2 linked regions of the Arabidopsis thaliana genome follow. The protein of the gene in region 2 interacts with the protein of the main gene of each other region in a pairwise test. Each region holds a gene or a part of one and is shown on either strand. Other genes may lie near its edges. The genes, in order: HSL1 and PTAC6.

The links.
Region 1: the proteins of PTAC6 (region 2) and HSL1 interact in binary tests that used the Arabidopsis thaliana proteins (3 or more experiments, as listed by UniProt).

What each region holds. Positions count from the first base shown.
Region 1 is NC_003075.7:15,475,309-15,487,705, forward strand, and holds HSL1 (HSI2-like 1), read left to right. Parts: upstream 1-4,070; 5' UTR 4,071-4,504; intron 4,505-4,865; 5' UTR 4,866-4,926; intron 4,927-5,186; exon of another isoform or gene 5,187-5,333; 5' UTR 5,334-5,480; intron 5,481-5,673; 5' UTR 5,674-5,739; intron 5,740-5,816; 5' UTR 5,817-5,922; coding exon 5,923-6,041; intron 6,042-6,224; coding exon 6,225-6,306; intron 6,307-6,394; coding exon 6,395-6,496; intron 6,497-6,592; coding exon 6,593-7,119; intron 7,120-7,208; coding exon 7,209-7,305; intron 7,306-7,398; coding exon 7,399-7,573; intron 7,574-7,761; coding exon 7,762-7,838; intron 7,839-7,974; coding exon 7,975-8,292; intron 8,293-8,379; coding exon 8,380-8,429; intron 8,430-8,553; coding exon 8,554-8,667; intron 8,668-8,831; coding exon 8,832-8,899; intron 8,900-8,975; coding exon 8,976-9,589; 3' UTR 9,590-10,046; downstream 10,047-12,397. Other genes in the region: AT4G32000 (Protein kinase superfamily protein), read right to left, coding at 15-78, 235-367, 450-949, 1,206-1,347. UniProt on the Arabidopsis thaliana protein: Transcriptional repressor of gene expression involved in embryonic pathways, such as LEC1, ABI3, and FUS3. Repressor of the sugar-inducible genes involved in the seed maturation program in seedlings.
Region 2 is NC_003070.9:7,568,810-7,578,691, reverse strand, and holds PTAC6 (plastid transcriptionally active 6), read left to right. Parts: upstream 1-4,845; 5' UTR 4,846-4,909; coding exon 4,910-5,395; intron 5,396-5,495; coding exon 5,496-5,564; intron 5,565-6,111; coding exon 6,112-6,216; intron 6,217-6,450; coding exon 6,451-6,570; intron 6,571-6,860; coding exon 6,861-6,950; intron 6,951-7,061; coding exon 7,062-7,178; 3' UTR 7,179-7,296; exon of another isoform or gene 7,297-7,670; 3' UTR 7,671-7,847; downstream 7,848-9,882. Other genes in the region: AT1G21610 (wound-responsive family protein), read right to left, coding at 49-441, 527-640, 796-843, 936-1,064, 1,346-1,471, 1,657-1,743, 1,828-1,940, 2,026-2,107 and 6 more; AT1G21590 (kinase with adenine nucleotide alpha hydrolases-like domain-containing protein), read left to right, coding at 8,998-9,148, 9,235-9,332, 9,411-9,660, 9,761-9,882. UniProt on the Arabidopsis thaliana protein: Essential protein involved in plastid gene expression and in chloroplast biogenesis.

The sequences.
Region 1 (12,397 bases), on a different chromosome or scaffold from region 2:
CTTGAGTGTAGTACCTTGCTGTATCAAGAGCAATCTTCATCCGCATGTGCCATGTTAAAGCCGATCCCCGAGAAGGTCCTTAACCATTAATGATGCAAACATTAAATTTTATCAAAACAAAAATTATTTATTTCATGTGGGCACATGATTTGTTTTATCTCTGTTATACTATAGTATTAATTTAACTCATGATCTATTACACGATGATGAGAAGATGTTTTGAGCTATTTTTACCGTGTAACTGTGTATCCAATGATCCGCTTTCCATCAGCTCGTAGACGATAAAACTCGAACTGAGTTCATTTCCATATCCAAACAATGAGATGATGTTCGGGTGGTGAATCTTGCTCAACAAATCAACTTCATTCTGAGATTTAGATGATAAAATCAGATATCAAGAATCCGGTAAAAAAGTAAAAATGATTAGTACTTGTGTTTTGTTTTGGTACCTGAAATTCTCGTTTTGCTTCTTGACTAACGTTTTCGATCTTTTTGACTGCTGCTAGAGTGTTGTTGCCTAAACAGGCCTTGTAAACATCTCCGAACCCGCCTCGTCCTATAAGATTACCGTCTTTGAAACCGCCTGTTGCTTTCTCTAGTGTCTTGTAATCGAAGGACTGCACAAAGCCCTTCTTGGATAATGAAATCCTACTCTCACCTTCTTCCGCATGAAACCATTTAGATATCAAAACAGAGAGATCACAATGAAGAAACTGATACAGAATCTTGTTACAAATGTAAAGTTTTGCAGATTTGTTCTCATTCTTAATGTTAAGATGATTATTACCTGAGTTCTTGGTGTTTTTGGGAGATTTCTTAGACCAATAAACCCAAAAGCATAAACAAGATACAAGTATTAGTCCTAGAGAAGATGAGGTGATTATGAGAGCGATTAGAAGTTTCTTGTGTGCATCTAACTTGTGTTCTTGGCCTTTGCCCATGTGGATCCCTGAAATCAGAAATCAAACGCTTGAGCTAATCTTCTCACTGTATCTAATTTCTGAATTATCCCAAAGGGATCTAGATGAGAAGGAATTTTCAGAATAACTGATAAAGAGATACGTAGAAGATAGCAATTCACTCATTCAGCAGCTCAAAAATAGCAATTACGTATATAATTAAAAGTCAGATTTTCATTGGTTTACTAAAACACAGATCAATCCACAAAAAAAAACATAAGCATGGATAGAGGAAGAGAGAGATACCTGGAGAAAAGGAAGCCATGGAAGTGTAAACAGGAGAAAGAGAAGGCTGTGAAGCAGGTGAAGTAAAAGCAGAAACACTAATGATGAATTCAAGAACAGAGACCTTAAGAAGAAGAAGAAGAAGATGAAGAATCTTTCCCATTTCTCCAGACTCTTTGGGATTTTTAATGGTGAAAGAGAGATTTTCTAAGAGCAGTGTGAGAATGTGAGATTGCTCTTCCAAGATTAATCTCTCTCTCGCTCTCTCTTTCTCTAATGGAGATCTCTTTCATAAAATTTTGTTTCCTTTTTTCTTGTCTGCATAAAGGAGGGAAGCAGAAAGTGGGTTTTAAAAAAGTCGAAATCATTCTCTCTAACTTCTTTATCATCAAATCAACATGTGAGAGGGTTTGAATGTGATAGTGAACACAAATTATTAAATTCTTCCTAACCAAAAACAGTTTAAAGTGATCAATGTATGAATTTCTTATATTTTAAATTAGAACAATTTATTCAAAACACGAATTTGTAACTTGGGCCACTACTAAAACTTCTGAAGAATAAAATTTAGAGTGGTCAAGTTAAAATATGCCTTTGTAACTTGAAGAGTTTACTTTACTGACAGCAAAAGTTGACCAGTTGTGTCAAACCGACAGAAATAAGAAGACTTTCCGTTTTGTTTTTTCTCTTTGGTCAATTATGTTATCAATAAAATATCTTCTTAGTAGTATATTTTTATTCTAGCATATAATCCTCTTAAGGATTCACGAGAATGGATCTAACTAATTCTATGCAGCATTTGCAACTAGAGTCTATATAAATAAACAACAAAAACTTCTACACTTTTAGAAACTCAACGGGCACTAACATAAAGTATTAGCAAACTAAACGCAACGACGGTTGTGAATGAAAGACTTTCGCAAATGTATAATGAGTGTGATTAAAGTGAAATTATATGCTCTCTTTTATCAAATGAAAGAACCAATCAATACTTCGGTAATGTATGTAAAATTGGTGTCGATACATATACAGTATATCTACACATTATATAGGAGTCAGTGATTCGTGATATATTAACTAGAGTTGCATCATCAGATAGTTATTTTTATATTGTCAACTACTATTTTATGCTTGTAAAAATACACAGAGATGGTTCTTGGTTACAACAAGGAATATTTCATATGTGAAATCTGAAAGGCAACAATATTAGACTAATATAGCAAATAACATGATATCAACGTATGGGAGTGTAAATGTCTGAATGTTCCATTTGAGAAATGTCCTCATCATGTGACACAAGTTTATTAGGCTACTCAAGTTAGCTTAGAATTAAGAAGCTAGAACATGTGAAAATAAATAGAAAACAAAAAAGAGGAAACAAAAACTAATAACAGAACGAGAAGTTGAAACCTTTTGGATCCAATTAAATGAATATCGATGTAATTCCAAAATGTTAGTTCATGTGTTAATGTTTGAAGATCTAGTACATATGAATAACATTTGAAATCATTTTTGTTTCATGCAATTACATAACTACAAGGGTTTTCATCACATATTGCTAATTAATTTTGAGTTTAGAATCCAAAACATTTAACCGAAAATCTAATAATTTTAAAAAGGGTGATTTACTCATCTATAAGACTAACTAAAAAAATACGTACTAAATTATTTACAAGAGACAATTGATAACTAGAGTATGAATTAGTTGTTTAGACTTACCCATGTGTCAAAGTCATATTGACAAATGGCTCGGTTATAACTGATTTATATACCAATAATTGCATACAAGTTTGTTTCTTAAATAAATCAAGCAATATTCATAAGATTGCATGTGTATTTTCTGCGAAACTATTAGTACGAATTCGTGGATATGCAAATTTAATGACTATGCAAAGTAGGTGAGAATGTAATAGCGATTAGAATAGCTAGGGTTTAGCCTACCAACCATGGTAATCCAGTTTCCTAATTATCGTTAGTTTTTGAATCCCATTCATGCTTTTATCTATTTTTCAACCAATCATGTCTTTTTACCAACAAAGCATTTCCAGTCTAAGCAATATGGTAGGTAACTCGGTACGATAAACAGAAAGATAATTTATTATTCATCTATAAACGAATAATTGGTTCTCACATTACTCATACAGAGGAAAAAAAGGGATATACAAACCCTCTCTAAATTATATAGTTTTGAATTCACTGTTGTTTATCAACAACATATATAACTCTCTTACCCAATTCTTATTATTGTTCATACTTCATAGACATTAACATGTACGTATAGTGATTGCTACAATGAATGGTATGTACAGATATTGAGACAGACAGTAGAAAGGGATGAATCGAGTATTTATTAAAGAGAAAGGAAAGGGCCAATCTATGCCTAGTTTCAATTATGAAACTCAACCCATGAACTGATTTAAATACTTTACCTATCGGATAAGACTTTTAAGGGTCTAAAATATTTTCCAACTATTTTTCATTTGCAACAAACCTTAAAGTAATATGCTAAAGAGATCTTTTCCAAAGGTGGAATGATTTTTTTGATCTAAAACGGCCCATCAACCAATCTTCGGTCCATTATCCTGACATGATTATTTGGGCTACATTTTTTTAAGTCTTTTGCAGTAAATTGTTGAACCAACAAAAATAAAGAGTTGGAGTTGGACCTAGTAGCTGATCTGCTGATGTGTTGGTGATGGTCGTCGTGGGTTCCTGTCTTATAACCCTAGAAACCAAGCCACTTCATCATTCTCAAATTCAATGCTTTACTAAATAATATTATTATCGAAATCAAAATACTAATTTAGACGTATATAAATCTAGAAGCAAACCTTAGGTGAGGTCGAAACAGAGATGACCTTTTGCGTGCACTTTAATTAATATCTTATTACATAAAATGTCACACTTTGAGTAAACTTTACATTATTCTCTCATCCATAATAAATAAATAAAGCATACTGGGTTTTAGGTCAGGCTGACGTCAGCAGTTTCTTTGTGTTTCATTTTTTTTTTTTTTGTAATCTAACGCTCCAGATTTGTTGTCTTCTCCACGAGCCCTTTGTTGTTGTTGGTAATGGAGATTTTCGCTCTAAGTCATTGTGGCTTCTTCTTCTTTATTTAGAAACCAATTCATCAACTCCTTCGTTATTTCTAAATCTCTTTGCCACTACCTCTTGTTGCTGCAATTGAATTGGCTCAAATCTTCTTCACTTGGTCGACGTAAAGACGACTTTGACTTGGTTTTTAACTTCACTTCTCCGTCGAAAACTATCCCTTCTCTTCCGATCGAATCAATCGGCTCTCTCTCCACACAAACCAAGGTAAGGGTTAACCCTCTCCGGTGATTATGCTCTGATAAATTTACTTGCTCGGCCATTAGTGTTCAGAAACTTGGTGATTTATGCATGTTTTTTTTTGTTCAAAGACCGTAGATTTCGGAATTAGGATTGTAAAAATTGAACCTTTACATCAGTGTTTTTACAAAGTTATAAGCTTTACTTGGAAATCAGTGGTTTTTTGGGTCAACCAAAGTTGAAAGATTTGAAGAAGAATGAAACTAGTTCGATTTATATATCATTTTATTGCTTCTTAAGAAAGTGTCGTCCTTGGTTCTTTATGAATTTCCAATTGCAGCCAAATATGTCATGTTATTCACCTAATTTTTGTATTTTCCAATTGCAGCCAAATATCTTCTCCTGTTACTGGAGACAAACCTGCATACATTTCTGTCATCTCTGTTAAGGTATTACATTTAGTTTACTTGTTTACTTAATGTAGCTGCTTATTACATTTTTTTCTTCAAGTCTATATTCTTCTTTCAATAGCATTAAAAGTTATGTGTATCCTCAGATTAGATCTTGCTGACTCGCAAGTTTTTGGATTATTTAGCGGTTTAATAAGAATTATATCTTCCTTGAAATTGTGCCTAGGTAGTGGAATCGTTGTTAGCCTACTGTAGCTCAGATAGGTGATGGATCATTTCCGTTCAATTGAATAATTTGACTATTTAAGGTTTGCACTTAGTTTTGTCTACAGAATCAATTCATCCTTTTTCACAGTCAAGATATTATTCTCATTATCACTATTGTAGACTTCTTGGACTTCCATACATTCATCAGTCAACTTTTCGATGGTGCGTTTTTATCACAGTGGCACAATTATTTAAGAGGCTCCATCTCCACTGCACCACTGAGAAGTTTCGTGTGGACATGTCTAAGCTTAGAATTGGTTTGGTTGAAAACTGAGGAGATGGAAGTGACTCGTGGTTTCTCTTTTTTGGACAAGTTTCTTCGAAAGGTCTGTTGATTTTCTTTGTCTCTTGTGAACTTTAATTTCGTTTTTTTTTCCTTAGGATGCAATGATATCTTATCTTTAGATGTCAATATCAAATGTCCTTAACTATTCATTCATTTACGGATTTTGATTACTTTATAACAGTTGGTATCTTCTTCTATATATCGTCATCTTATATGTTTTTATTTGTATATAGTCTTTCACAGAAGGAGCGTATTGAGTTTCTCGACAATATATTTGACATCTTCTTCTGCCTTTTCTGGTAAGTGTTTAACTTTTCTGATACCAATTAGTTTTCTTAATCATTGCATATTTTTAATGCTTGTGCCTTTATTAAAGAGGAAAGTTGCGGTGGATTAAAGCACCATCGTGCGGAGAATACGATAAGGCTCTTGCTTCATTTGAAGTTATTGACAGTTGAATCGAGCCGCTCAATTGGTCAATTATGGAGTCAATAAAGGTTTGCATGAACGCACTGTGCGGAGCGGCCTCTACGTCGGGCGAGTGGAAAAAAGGCTGGCCTATGCGATCCGGTGATTTAGCTTCTCTCTGCGATAAGTGTGGGTAAGGGCCTTCACTCTTGTGTCTAATTTGAATACTTTTGCGACCAGTTCGATATTCGCAACACTTCTGCGATAGATTAGTGCTGTGGGTTTGCTTACAATTAGAACAAGAGTGGGTACGTGAAGGGAATCTATATTTCATGATTACTTATTAGTAAACTCTGTGAATGTTGGTTTTTGATAGGTGTGCATACGAGCAATCCATATTCTGTGAAGTGTTCCATGCCAAGGAATCTGGTTGGAGAGAGTGTAATTCATGTGACAAGGTGACGAAAATCCATGGCTTACTACACATGTTTTTGCACTCAACGTATTTCAATTGTTTTCCTTAATACGTATTTACGTTTTTTTCAGCGTCTTCACTGTGGATGCATTGCTTCTAGATTTATGATGGAGCTTCTAGAGAATGGTGGTGTTACCTGTATAAGTTGCGCCAAGAAATCCGGACTAATTTCTGTAAGACAATTTCCTCTCCATGAGTTAACTTCTTGCAAGGGATGCTTCCTTGGTCTTGGTTTCTCTGTCACTATACTCATGTAATCTCTCTTACAGATGAATGTGAGCCATGAATCTAACGGTAAGGACTTCCCCTCATTTGCTTCAGCAGAGCATGTAGGCAGTGTTCTTGAGAGGACAAATCTCAAGCACTTGCTTCACTTTCAAAGAATCGACCCCACTCATTCTTCTCTTCAAATGAAACAAGAAGAATCGCTGCTTCCTTCCAGCCTAGATGCTCTTAGACACAAAACTGAAAGGAAAGAATTGTCTGCACAGCCAAACTTGAGCATTTCACTTGGACCTACGCTTATGACAAGCCCATTTCATGATGCTGCTGTTGATGACAGAAGTAAGACTAATTCGATTTTCCAACTGGCCCCTCGGTCCAGGCAGCTGCTTCCAAAACCTGCAAATTCAGCTCCCATTGCTGCTGGCATGGAGCCTAGTGGGAGCCTGGTGTCACAGATTCATGTCGCTCGGCCTCCTCCAGAAGGTCGCGGGAAGACCCAATTGCTTCCCCGTTACTGGCCTAGGATTACTGACCAAGAGCTGCTGCAATTATCTGGACAGTATCCTCATCTGTATGTTATAATATCGTGTTTCTGCTTTTATTCTACCATTATGCACTATTTTTCTGTGCTAAGGAGTCCTTGACTGTTTATTTTCCTAGCTCAAATTCCAAAATTATACCACTCTTTGAAAAAGTTCTGAGTGCGAGCGATGCGGGTCGTATTGGTCGACTGGTTCTTCCGAAAGCATGTGCAGAGGTAACTTGTTTCTCTGTACGCTTATTTGATATTCCCAAACTATTGCTATCTAAATGCCAGGTATCAGCTATAACCGTCTATGCTTCTATGTAGGCATATTTCCCCCCTATATCTCTACCCGAGGGTCTCCCGTTAAAGATACAAGACATAAAAGGGAAAGAATGGGTGTTCCAGTTCAGGTTTTGGCCTAATAATAACAGCAGGATGTACGTTTTGGAGGGTGTGACTCCTTGCATACAGTCCATGCAGTTGCAAGCTGGTGACACTGGTACTTTTCAAATCCTTTTGTTTCGTTAACTACATTCATAACATATTGATAAACCCACCCTGGTATGGATAAATGAAACATTGGCACTAAAGCGTTCCAATCATGAGGACAGTGAAATACATTCCACGAAGAGATGACCGTACTTTTCTATTAGGTCTGATGTCTTGGATTTTCCATGTTCTCTGCAGTAACATTCAGCCGTACAGAACCTGAAGGAAAACTCGTAATGGGATACCGTAAAGCGACGAACTCTACAGCGACACAGGTAAATGCATAATAAGCTGAGAGTTGCCCCCTTAGGCATAAGTAACTGCCACTGTGAAGTGTATTGAATTAAAGAATCCTTTTCTGGTGCTCTCGTACTGATTCTTTCAGTGAAATATTTTTCCGTGTTTCTTCAGATGTTCAAGGGAAGCAGTGAACCCAATCTGAACATGTTTTCCAACAGCTTGAATCCGGGATGTGGTGACATCAATTGGTCTAAACTAGAGAAGTCTGAGGACATGGCAAAGGATAACTTATTTCTTCAGTCGTCCTTAACTTCTGCTAGGAAACGGGTTCGGAACATTGGGACTAAGAGCAAGCGTCTGCTCATTGATAGCGTAGATGTTCTGGAACTGAAAATAACTTGGGAGGAGGCACAGGAGCTGTTGCGGCCTCCCCAATCCACCAAACCCAGCATCTTTACGCTGGAAAATCAAGATTTTGAAGAATATGACGTGAGTTACTGTTAACTGTTTAGTTATCAAAAACAGCTGGGAACTTTTCACTGTATTTTCTGAAATCATGTATTTGCTGCTACCCAGGAACCACCAGTTTTCGGGAAGAGGACCCTTTTTGTCTCACGTCAAACAGGGTGAGGCCTCATGTACTATGTAATGATAGGATCAGAAGAATTAAGCACCCTTGGAATGATCGAAAGATTTGAAGTAATGAACATCTGATTATTTGGTTCTGATATGTGATCCATGAATTCTCAGGGAACAAGAGCAATGGGTGCAGTGTGATGCTTGTGGGAAATGGCGACAGCTGCCGGTGGATATTCTTCTTCCACCAAAGTGGTCGTGCTCTGATAATCTCTTGGATCCTGGCAGGTAAACGAGGTTGCATGTTCATGTGTTTAACCTAGGCTAGTTACCACAGAACATTGCGCATTTTTTTCCGAAATAACTTAGACTACACATATGGGATAATTATAGATTTTTGACTCACTGAGACTGGCCATCTGAATAATTTGAGTTGCTGTTTATATCGTCAGGTCTTCATGTTCCGCACCTGATGAACTCTCTCCAAGAGAACAGGATACACTTGTCCGGCAGAGCAAAGGTAAAATCCGCAGCTATTATTGGTCTGTATAATTAGAAACTTCCTTCTTTACATAACGAAACTTTCGTCTCAACAGAGTTCAAAAGGAGGAGACTGGCATCATCAAACGAAAAGCTAAACCAGTCGCAGGATGCATCTGCTCTGAATAGTTTAGGAAATGCAGGCATCACCACAACCGGTGAACAGGGGGAAATCACGGTTGCAGCCACGACCAAGCATCCAAGACACCGGGCAGGGTGTTCGTGCATCGTCTGCAGCCAACCACCGAGCGGAAAAGGCAAACACAAGCCGTCATGCACTTGCACTGTGTGCGAGGCAGTGAAGAGACGATTCAGGACGCTCATGCTGCGGAAGCGGAACAAAGGAGAGGCAGGACAGGCAAGCCAGCAGGCGCAGTCACAGTCAGAGTGCAGGGACGAGACAGAAGTGGAGAGCATTCCAGCGGTTGAACTAGCCGCAGGGGAAAACATCGACTTGAACTCAGACCCGGGGGCTTCCCGAGTAAGCATGATGAGGCTTCTCCAAGCTGCAGCGTTTCCTCTGGAAGCATATCTGAAACAAAAGGCTATTTCCAATACAGCAGGAGAACAGCAAAGCAGTGATATGGTCAGCACAGAACACGGTTCGTCCTCAGCCGCACAAGAAACTGAGAAAGACACAACAAATGGAGCTCATGATCCTGTGAACTAAACAGCTTTGGAATTCTCCATGAGTATTTATTCTTCAGTGGTATGTGTTTCTTATTTACACAAAAAATGTCTTCGGTTTCGTCTCAAATTGGTTGAGTGGTTACGACCATTCTACCAATTGTCGATCGAAGAAATGAGGAATTTGTAGTTTGCTTTTCTTTTTGTTTCTGGTGTTTTGGTTTGGTGTGTGGTGAGTTGAGGCTTGAGAGAGAGAGACAAATAGATTTGATGAGGTTTTTGAAAATACATAGGACACTAACTTAATAGTTATATCTAATATGGAAATGGATGAAGCTTCTAAGAAGAGAATCGGTTCTGGAGGTGGAGCTTCAAATTTGTACGCCTATCTATCGCAATCTTAAGTTTCAAAATTCGAACCTGTACATAATTTTTATTATTTTCAAGTTTGTTTATGAAATTTATGATTTACTTAAATTAGAGAAATTGGTTACGCGAGATCCTATTATTTTGATTTGGTGATAAACTTATGGTATGAAGACACACAATCAGTTACATGGAAGCAAATAAATCGGCTATAGCTCGGTCGATGTTAGAAGTGTTGATCGTGTCAGTGTAATAATAAGAGTTATCACTTATCACTCAACTAAACTCCTAAAAATAGAGCCATATGATAAGCTATCACTCATCCAAATCCTAAAAATATAAAAAACCGTTTGGTATATCCAATTTGTCTCGAGTTCTAAACATTAGCGATAATACAGTATTAGTTTCAGAATTTGAGTCAGAAATTGATATAAATTTAGATGAAGAAGCATGTTTGTTGCTTGTTTTTGCTTCTTTCTATGTCTCTGTTATGATAACATACAGTATCAAAGAAGTTAAGACCTGAGGTCAACTCGTTTGTTCGTGTCTGAATTCTGATTATTTTGTGGGTTTCTTTCTTCTCAAATCTCACCAATCCCCCATGTTATAAAATATCAGGAATAGCCCCAAAAGAAATAAATAATTAAATAAGAGCAACAATACTTTTCCAAATTGTTTTTTTTGGCCGGCCAAAGTTGATTGAGTCGGCTCGATTGACTGACTCCAAAATAATCAATCTCATACAGCATCACGCCATTCCTATCGTCAAATTACACGTGTCTTTTTCTGATTGATAAGTTTGTCCTCAAACACGTGGACTCTGCCTTATTTCTTCTCAATAAAGAAAATTTATTACCTAATGCCCCTACCTCTTCCCAAAACCAATAACTAGGCGTTTTTTTTTGTCCCATTTTTCTTTGTTGGTTTCATTTATGAATACACTACATATTATTGAAAAATAACACAAATGCCCTCCTTAAATTCATAATTTTACAATATTTATATTAGTATTACGTTTTTTGCACTAATCACTAGATATATGAATATAATTTTAATTAGTTTATGCCCAAAATACACAGAAAGGGCATCAAAAGCATCAATTTATTTTTAATTGACCAAATAGCTTTAGTGATTCTTATTATTAGTAATTTAATACTAGTTGGCGAGAAAAAAAAATACAAAGAAGATGAACAAGTGAAACAAACTTGAGAAATATCCGTGGTCAAAGAAGATAGACGAGTGGGGGTGGCAATAGAGTAAATAGAAAGGAACACGAAGGGTTTGTTTGTAAGGAATATGTTAATAATGGAAGGGCGAAGAAAAAGATGAGACAGAGAGTGGGACCCATAAACGCGTAGCTGAGGTTTTGGTAAGGATCGTCGTGGGTTCCTCCTCTCTCACCCTATAAACCACTTCTTTCTCACGCGCCTCTTTCACATTTATTATTACACCTAAATTTAAATAAATTATTATTATTATTGTGGTCGACCACTTCTTTCAAAAGTTGTTGTCATTTACCTATTCCCAACACATATATTCTACTCCACCTTAAGAATATCTATTTCCTTTTGTCATTAGAAACACTTATACGAACCTGTTACATATTTGCAAGGTCGTATCAATATGTTTATCGACATAATCGTTAGGATCTTTGGGTTTCTCAATGTTTAATAGTCTTTTACCTCTCGTTAATTAGATATAAAGATTGGATTTATATACATAAATACAAATTTAAAATTAGCGTTTCAATATCATATTATTATGGATGTACAATGTATGGGAATAATGTAAAGCTTACTCAAAGCCAAAGGGCGAGATATATTATGCCTAATGGGGTATTATTTTAATGTTTAACGTATGTGATCATGAAAGCGACAAATGCGTAATGGAGGATTTTGTTGCTTGGATACTGTTCGGCAAAGTAGCTTTTTTTAATTCAATTATTTCGTATTATTATTGACAACTTGGCTTAATTATTTAGTGTTAATCATTTTGTTTGTCAACAATTACAAACATCTGCACAATAACCTTTGATGTGACTTCATTTTTGTGTAGGGGGTGATATACCATTTCTTATTCAAAATATTGAAATAGTCCTCAGTGTAAGAAGTAGAGTTTTGGGATCAGCAGCCATATGTCCTCTTCAAATTATATATGTTTATAAAGTTATCTAATGCTTTAAAATATGCATAGCTTTTTTTCTATTTTTTATAAAGTAATTTAATGCTTTCAATTGTACTTATAGATGTAAGATATTAGGTTTAAATTTTAATCTCTGGCCTTTAATTTTGACAAATTACCTTTGAACTTTTGAATTTGGAGATTGTAATCATACATCACACAGAATATCACATATTTGAATACTTTTAATTTTTTGAAATGGTATAGGAAATGAAAAATGTAAAGCTTCTTATTGAATGATAACACACATATGTGATGAGAATAAAAAAGAAAAGAATACAGAATTTATGTGACATATATCTTA
Region 2 (9,882 bases):
AGGTTATTGTCTCCGGCGTTTCTAAGAGCTCCTTTGTCAATCGTGATGTCAACTTGGCAAGTTCAGGTCCGGGGTTGTTCGTGGGATGTTCAGATTCTGAGGAGCTGGGATTACACGTGTCTGTGGATGTTCGGGCTTCTTCAGGGCAAGAACGACTTGTTTCTCAGCCATTACAGCCTCGTTCTTTCTCTTGACCACTCTTGTTTCCTCTGTAGGATTGCAAGAGCTTGAGATTCCCTTTAGCTTCTCAGGCTGCTGCTGATTTGATCTGTCAACCATAGTTTGACTAGTGACCACGGAAGTGCTGGTTGCATTTGGATCAACAATCAATTTTTTTTCCCCACTGTGTTGTCTCTGAACCACTAATTCGGTGTTGGGCTGAGCAGTACAGTCTGTTCTTGGTACCAACTGCTTCATACTCTTCTTCATCTTTGTTTGATCCTTTAACAAAGCAGAATCTAATCAAGCAAAGCAAATTGCGAAAATTTTAATGCAAAGAGGTAAAGGGCTGAGAAAATTCTTTAACTACCATCTCTTTCGCAAGGTTTCCATACAATGCTTTTCGTCTCTCCTTTGCCCGGAAAATTGCATGTTTGATCCCACGATAATCCATCAATCTATTTGGCCAGAGTTCAGCCAACTGGAGCATGAATAATTCCAAAACAATATTCATCAAGCTCTAACAAACCACCTTGAGCTTTTGGCTAGGTCTAATTGGTGATTTAAGACATGAGATAAGCTTGGAACAAAAAAAACCAGAATACCAAAAATAATCGGGAATGGAGAAGGGCTTACATTGACATATAGCTTTTTTGTTTGTGGACCTTGATCTTCATCCAATCCCTAATATACCAAAAAACAGGAACAAAACCGTTTTGACTCTAATTCTATGTCTAGAATTGGCATGGCAGATTATAAAGGTAAATGATAATTACGTCGATAAATATGTCATATAGGTCACACAATTTATCCTCCAATGCCGCATCCATGACAAACTTCTTCAAAGATGGCTTTTCTACTGAGTCCTGAAAATCGTCTGATGTTGCACCTTCTGGTTTGATTGCCTATGGAACATAAAATGATAGTGCAAGAAATATCATAAATGTCACAGGTGCCTCAACATATTAATAGGAGGAAAATACGCTACAAAGGCAGATTGACCCACAGGGAACATCGAAAACAAAAGAATGAAGAGCTTGATCTACGGAAAACCATTATCAGAGAGAACTCCAGATTTCATAAAAGTTAATGACACTTCCAAGAATGTAATAAGATAGAAAAGCCATGGATGAAAGAAATGCCTATCAAGCAACTTAAGATTAGAACAGAGAGAGAGAGAGAGAACCTGTGATTCCATCAAAGAAACTTTGGCCTTTATCATATCAAGAACTTCATTGTTGATTTGCTTGAACCTAGTATCCTTTTCTCGGGTTGCAGAATCTCCCATATCAATCATGATTTTCAAGTTCCTCTGCAAAATAAGCATTACAAAGAGTAAGAAACCATATTTTGTTTGCTTGTACCTGAAACAGAAGAGTTTTTCACTGGAACATGAATGTCCTGAAGAAGACTAACTATTTAAACACCTTGACGAAAGTCCTAACAAGTCTGCTTTAGTAACAGAAAGACTAGGATACAGGAGACAGAAAATTTTACCTTAAGAGACCTAAGCTGGATTAGGTGACCAACAATGCTCATAAGACGGTTGATTAACTCTGTTGAATGTTTTCCCTGGCTTGCCTGCTGCCACAAAAGGCATATTAGTTTTTTCTCATACCGTTTCAAGTTTCAAAAAAATGAGAAGAACAAATGGAAAAGCTCTAGTACCGCAATCCTAGCAACTTTAGCAAGTTTCAATTTAACATCCCTGGGCAATCTTCTCTTCACTGCCTGGGATGAGGTATCAGCTTCTTGATTTTCAGTGATAGCAGGAGGCCTTGCTGCTTATAAATCATAAATTCTTGTAAGTTGAAAATCACCAAATGCTATTCTAGTTGGTCACACTTGAAAAATATTAAAACTCACATTCCACAACCACCTTCTCCAGTTCCCTTATGGCTTTCTCGAGGATTGAGGTTTTAGACTTCACATTAGAACCATCTTTTTTCTGAGTAGAGACAGGTTATTGCAGAATTATAAAGCAAGACTGATGTAAACTTTGTGGTAAGAAAAATGCATGGAAGCAAAGATTGACCAGAAAAATATCACAGAACCGAGATGAAAACTGGAGAAACAAAACTACGACCTTAGAATGCAACCAACTTACTGAGTGTATTTTATGTAATTGTAGACACAGTTGGAATGTACTTACAGACGCTTGACTAGATTGTCTGCTTCCCGTTACATTTGCCAGCTGATGCATACCATTGTTTTCTTTCTGACGGACTACTGTTACCTCTGCAAAGACATTGGGGGGAGATTTTCCTAGCAGGGACGTAGATTGTTGGTGTAAGCTTTTGTTGCTGTATTTCTGATGAAGGGCACTAGAGGATCCAGTTTCCCTTGACTTGTGACTTGTATCATTCCTAGACTGATGATTTGCTCTATCAGAATGCTTCACATCATCCAGAGGTACTGAAGTATTTGCATCTTGCGCTCCAGAAGGCAAAGGTGACTCCTGTGTTTTCCAGGACCCAGGAGCAGTTGATTGATCCTGGACTTCCCCATTCGTATAATCAGTTATCAGACTCAAACTCCGACATAAATTAGTATGATTTGCAATAAAAGATGTTACCTTTTTCCTAGCTGTTATAGACAACTTGGTGTGTTTATCGGATACGTCAACTGCATCACGACAGGGTTTTGCTGAATCTTTTCGTCGCCGTTTTTTGGGTTGCTGGTTAGATGTTGTTGAAGGTTCCCTATTGTGAAAATGAATCAGGGATTAGATAACTTGTAAATGAAATATAGCATGATTAGGCAAAATGAGAAAAACTCTATCCTATCGAAAGTGCAAAACCTACATCTATATGAACGTTTTTTAACCAGAAAAGTTGAAAAATGGACTTTACCCATACCAAACACCCTACAGACATTAGTTAAGGCAGTAGTAGCAAGACTGCCAACCATATTTTACCATTTGGAGAGACTACACATATCCAAATAGGAAGAAAAACTGAAAAGCAAGGTGATTTCATATGTTTATTTCAAAAACTTACGACATGCCTATTCTAAACATGATCTGAGTGATTGAAAAGTGACAAAGCCACCAAAGAGTTAAGAGACATCAGATAATGAAAAGAGGAAGATAACTCACATCCGCTCCAACTTGCCTCTATTTACATAAAATCCATCATGTTTAACTGTTGAATTATCAACTTCGAAATACTCATCCTGCAAGGAGTAGAGTAAAACAGAGATATGATTTCTCAGCTATCAAAAATATTTGAAAGATATCAACACCAACCAGTTCAGCATCATCTATAAATGAATCTTCAGTGTCATACTCATCATCATCAGGAGCACCGTCTAACTCTTCCCCATCACTGCTATCGTTCCCCTGAGATTTATTCTCTGAAGTAAGCATACACTTTTCAGAGATGTGTGAATGCAACAGTGCTATTGCATGGTATGCAAAAATGTTGTGAATGTGAAAAATCAAACATATAACAACCTACCAAGAAAAGTGTTTTAACAAAGAGTAGCATACCTTATAGAGCCTCTCTATCTTCTCAATAACAGCGTTGAAACGGTTAGAATGAGGTTGTTCATTCGTTTCAATCTCTACTGGATGCCCCTACATTATATACGAAAATACAGCTGTTGAAAATGATTTTAACCACCCATATTGTATGCATAAGAAGAATATATTGTGAGGAAGCTGCAAGCATATTATACCATCTTAAATGAAGATCCACTATTATATGCTTCATTCTCTTGCACTAATAGATATTAATAAAACTTTCTCTATATTCTTCACTATTACAGCTATAGTTTCCATTGCAACTATGTGAACCAAATTCCTTTCCAGATCAAGTATAATTGATGGCATATTCACATTGATAACGATGAAGTTAGCCTAATGTAGCTAGCAATTAGAAATGAAGCCAAAGATCATATATCAGGTTGTAGACTTTCTCCGTTTAAGGAGTTTGCTTATTGAACTCTAGTCACAGACGTCAGAGAGCAATAACAACAGAATTCCTCCTATACCATATCGATTTCAAGCATTTTCCCCAACAAATAAATCTGAAAATCTGCGAATTTAGTAAAGCTCCTTTATAAACCCTAACAAAGATTACAACTCCCCGAAACAAGACAAATGCTTACTCCAATAACAGCAAACGAAACCCACAAATGCCTACAAGTATATATATCCGATTACCAATTCCTACAACATCAAACTCACCGGTGCAATTCGAAACTCAAGGTTAGGGTTAGCATTAGGAGGCGGGTCGGGAACCGAAGCCGATAAACCATTGACCTTACCAGCATCCCTCATAAGCTTCTTCCACGAAACATACGTCGTATCCCCTGGCCGAAGCTCCACCTTGAGTAATTTCCGATCACCGGCCGTTAAAACCTTCGGCGACGCTCTCAACAATTCGCCGCCAATAGAACCACCACTCATCTCATTAACTTCCGACATTAATAATTCGGGTCGGGTCGGGTCGGATCAGTTTGATCCACTATATACTAACCCCTGGGTTCGAGACGGATTGATCTAAACAGCAATCAAGAGAGTGGAATCGATGAATCGATGTAGAGAAACTGAAACTGAGAAGAAAAAGTTGCGCGGGATACCAAAAATGACGCTCTTAATTATTTCCTAATTTATTTTTGTTGTTTTATTCACTAAAAAGGATTATTATTATATTATATAGTTTTTCTTTTTTTTTTAATTGTATTTTTCCTCGAAATATCTAATCCACAGATAGATAGAACACTCTGTGAGCTTTATCCGCTTCCAATGGCGTCTTCCGCCGCTTCTCCTTCCTTATCTCTACTCTCATTCACCTCGAAGCCACCTTATCCCTCCGGCTCTCAGCGGCTATTTGCGTCATTCAGAACGGACGGTCTTTTCGCGCCTTTAACACTGAAATCCCGACGCGGCCGTGGTATAGTCGTTAAAGTAGATGACGTCGATGCTGATGGAGGTGGAGCGGACGAGTATGATATGGATGATGAGGAGGTAGAGGAAGTTGACAACAAGAAGGACTATGATGTCGAGTATGACCCCTTGGCCGCCGCGATAGCCGCTGCAGGCGGTGGTGGTGATGGAGATATCGCTTTTGTTCAGAGTAAGAGTTTTATATCGACACAAGGATGGGATTCGGATATGGTGGTTGATTATCGGATAAACGAAGATGAGTTTCATAAACTCAGCTTAATGGACTGTGATTTCTTTATCAGAAAACCTCCTGATCCAGATAATGATGTTTATGATTTCAGAGAGGTGTGTGAATTCCCAGTGACTCTAATTGCTCATTTCTTCGATTTCTCTAGAGTCTGTGCTCATTCTTCAATTGTAAATTGTTTTGTGTGGGTGGCTGCAGATGTATGTTACTCCTCCGGATACAGATATTTACTCAATTCCGAGAGTTCTTGCACCGATGCCTCAAAAGGTCAGTCATTTATCCTTATCGGTTGCTGTTTTTGTAATGCCTATGCGTTGTTCTGAGACTTCCTTTTGTTCAGCAAGATAATTGCTTTTCATATTGTGCTTAATTGCTAATTGAACCCATATACCTCCACTCTACCTAGTAATTGTATCACTTAAGAAATCTTATCTGCACAGAGCTCTACCTAGTAATTGTATAACCCATATACCTTCACTCTACCTAGTAATTGTATAACTTAAGAAATCTTATCTACACAGAGCTGTACACGTTTGGTATTGTTTGGAACTTCTACTCACACTGATAGACTGGAATTTTGAACATATAATCTCAAAAAGTGCCGTAAATGGTCAGCATTTAGTATGATTAGAGAGTCAGAATGTAGCAGCTGGGTGTTTGTTTAGTCACTTTCCTTTCATTCTGTGGCCAGTTTTGTACTCTTTGCTGCTTCATGATTGCGTATGTTTTACATTGTAAGGTTTATTTATAAGCAAGTTGTTACAATGAGTGAGTGGTGCTAACAAGGGCTTGTTTAATGATGTTACAAGTACAGTATATTCGATGTGCAATGAGTGACTATGGATGTTACAATGTCACTGAACCACCTATTGATGCCCCCAGAGATCCACTGTACAAATCTGAGAGGGAGATATCCAAGGTACATATTGGACCATGTACATTGATGTTAAATCCATTAGGTCTTTGATGCAGGGAGTCTTGAGCAACATGTATTAACAAGGATGTACTTAGTTTTGATTTGACAACATTTTTGGAAACCACACCAGGAAATATGTTTTTTAAGCATTAAGGATGAGATCAACACGAAACTACTTAGTTTAGTAGTTACAGTTTCTGATACAAATTGTCTTCATCGTGTTTATTTTTTATGCAGGTTTTCTTGACAAAACATTACCGGAACAGAAGGACAAACGATCCAGAATTTGTGCTAGATCTTGAAGAGATATATGTTATTGATTCCAAGACAAAGTCAATCACCAGAGCCAGAGTTCTGGTATGACTAATTCTTATCTTCCAAGTTATTTAAGCATTATTAACAAAGTTCTCATTCCGAGTCTGAGCACAAACCTCAACCGTAGACCATAGCCAATTGGGTTTTTTGACATATTCTTATAGAATATTTTTCATGCTATAACACTAATGAAATGCTGGTTTATATTAGTGCTATTTATGCCTCTAGTTCTGAATCAGATATCTTGAGTTATGAGTTCTTTAAATACTGTGCATAGCTCAAAGCTATGAAGACAATCTTCTTTCCGATGTTAAGGTTTTAGATTGTTTCAGGTGACAGTTCCGGGAGGAAGAAAAAGGGATAGGAAGGATGACTTGCTTGTGATACGAGATAATGGAACCTCCTTTAAGATCATACACGTGGTACCTTTCCATTTCCAAATGACCAAATCCATTTCATCTGGCAGTCATTTGTATTCCTTCATCTAGCTTTACTCATCTTCACTCTATGTCTATATATTTCCATTCTTTCAGGGTGAAAGAGATGACCCAACAACGGTAATAGAAAGAGAAGAGTGGACCAAGACTAGAGAAGACATGGAGAAACATCTCAGGAAGCTACGAGACTTCAGTGTCTCAAATTGGTTCTAGAAGAACTCGAGAGACACCAAACGACAAGTCAGCATAACTTTCTTCCTGAGATGGAAAACGAGAGCAGATGATCTAAATCGATGATATGGTGGAGGGTATACAATTTTGGTGACCTCAGGTACTGCACTAGCAGCAGAGATGGATGTGTTATTAGATGAATATGGGCCTCTAGAAAAAAGTGTGTAGATGCAATAGTTTGATGGACTAACATTCAATGACTAGAGAAGCTAGCTTATTTGCAAGTTTTGAGGTGTTTAATTCAAGTTTTCAATTGATGATTATGATGGCTTGTATTATTCTTGTGATGAGATATTTTCATATTCAAGATTGGAACAAAGTGTTTGTATTTGAGAAATTGGGATGGTGTTGACTGTTGTTGAGTGGACTAGTTAGAACTTGTAGCCGGCGTGTCGTTTTAGTTATACGAAGCTACTAAAAACGACAGGTAGTCTGTTATTCTAAACTTTTTGATGTAATTAATGATGACATCAGGAAAAGACACGTGTACGGTATCATGTTCGGTCGATTGGATTTTCACGTGAGTGGGATTACAAATGTCAAAGTCGCCGACAGAGCAGTCATGTTGTGTGGTTGGTTCCATTGGCCCATTCTGTGACCACCGAACATTAACTTCCCTATTCAGTTTTTTAATACAAATATCTTTATTTATTGCCACACTTGAAAAATTACATGAATCACTTAGAATGACACGTAAAACAAAATAAATGCACCAACAGTTCGGTGATATGGAATTCGTTAGGTATATAAGAAATTAAGAATAGTTGTAAAACACGATTGTGTTCAATATTATGGAATGAAAATTGCGATAGAATGGTCAGAACGATCGATTTGACATATGCCAAACCAACAAGGTAGAGAAGGAAATGATCAAATCTTAAAACAATTCAATTGAGTCGAAGAAACAAAAACATGTGCACGATAAAATGAATTGCACGATAAAATAAAGAAGATTGACGTGAGAAAGAATAGTCAAATGGAATAAAAATAACGATAAGGTATGTGCATCAACCGTTGAATTTGTAAGTAAGTATGGTTTTGGTGGGCTACATTTCTAATAAGCATCTTTGATTTGTCAATCTACCTATTAAAATACATACACAATGGACAAGGAATGATTCATATAAAAACAAAGGAATAAAATCACATAATTATGATAATTTGTTATCTCATTGCCGGAACCTCATTTATGGTACTTTTATACATGGCACAACATTCTATTAATCGATAACGGTGGACCATATTCCCCGTATTTAATACGTAGATTTCTTCTTCTACTGTTTGGTATGGTACCAATCTCTTAAGTTAATTATGTAACATAAATTCAGATAAAAGAAAATGTTTGTGTTGCATATATTTTTTTTTTGTATAAAATAATCTACAATAGGGAATAAATAAAGTTAATTTCATGAATGTATCTGAAATATTTTTAAATTAATTAAAATGAGCAAAAAAAAGAAAAGATATATCTATATATATTTTTTATAATTTGTTATTTGTTAGGTTGATAATTAATGAGAGAGTGTACTGTGAAGACTAAATATTAAATTATGTATTTTATTTATCTAAATGGCAACGAAATGAAAATTCTCATATGTCTGCTCCTCCATTCTTACTCTTCTCTCTTTCTCAGAAGCTGCAAAACCAGAGAGTGAGAGAGAATAGAGATTCACTTTTGTGAGCGTTGCGATGATTTTGTGCCTCGTGGAATCATCACACTACAACGTATTCACCTGAAATTCAGACAAAACAGTTTGAGGAAACTGGGAAGTGATAAGATAAGAGAGTGATAGAGAGAGAGATGACGGAAAACGGCGTCGTTACAGGAGGAGGCCATACTGTTATGGTGGGCGTAAAGTTCGATGAGTCGAGCAATGAGCTACTTGATTGGGCTTTGGTTAAGGTTGCTGAACCGGGTGATACTGTAATCGCTCTTCATGTACTCGGCAATGGTAACACTTTTTTGTTTCTCTGTATTAAAGCTACGATTTTTGGAAATGGGTTTCCATGTTTACTCTCTCTTATTGGATTTGTGTAGAGATCGTTGACCGAGCAGACAACTCTTCTCTCGTCTCCATTGTTAAAAACTTTGATTCTGTTCTTGAAGTTTATGAAGGTTTCTGCAAATTGAAACAGGTATGCTTATTAAAGTGGAAAACTTTCATGCTCTATTCTCTCTGCTCTAGCTGATGATGGTTGAATTGCTTTTAATAGTTGGAATTGAAGCTAAAATTATCCCGGGGTTCTTCTACTCGAAAGATTCTAGTTAAAGAAGCAAAAATGTGTTCTGCGTCCAAAGTTGTAGTTGGGATCTCCAGACGTTTCCATACAATTCATTCATCTGTCTCCGTGGCTAAGTACTTAGCTAGGAAAGTAGCAAAAGATTGCTGGGTTCTGGCTGTTGACAATGGAAAAGTCATGTTTCAGAAAGATGGTTCCTCATCGATCATTCATCACTCTAAAGGTTTGGCCTTTCTCTATAAGTTTCTTTTGTATGTGATGATTTCTGTGTCTGTATTAGGGTTTTGAACTCTTCTTCTTTCTTGGGCATTGGTTTGTAATAGGTAAAAGTGATGCTCGTAGGAACACTTTGTCTAGTTTCTTTCAGATGCCTGTCACATTGAGAAAGAATACCAAAGTAGTAAACCATTCTGAGGTGGAAGAGGAAGAGGCAGAGGAAGATCAT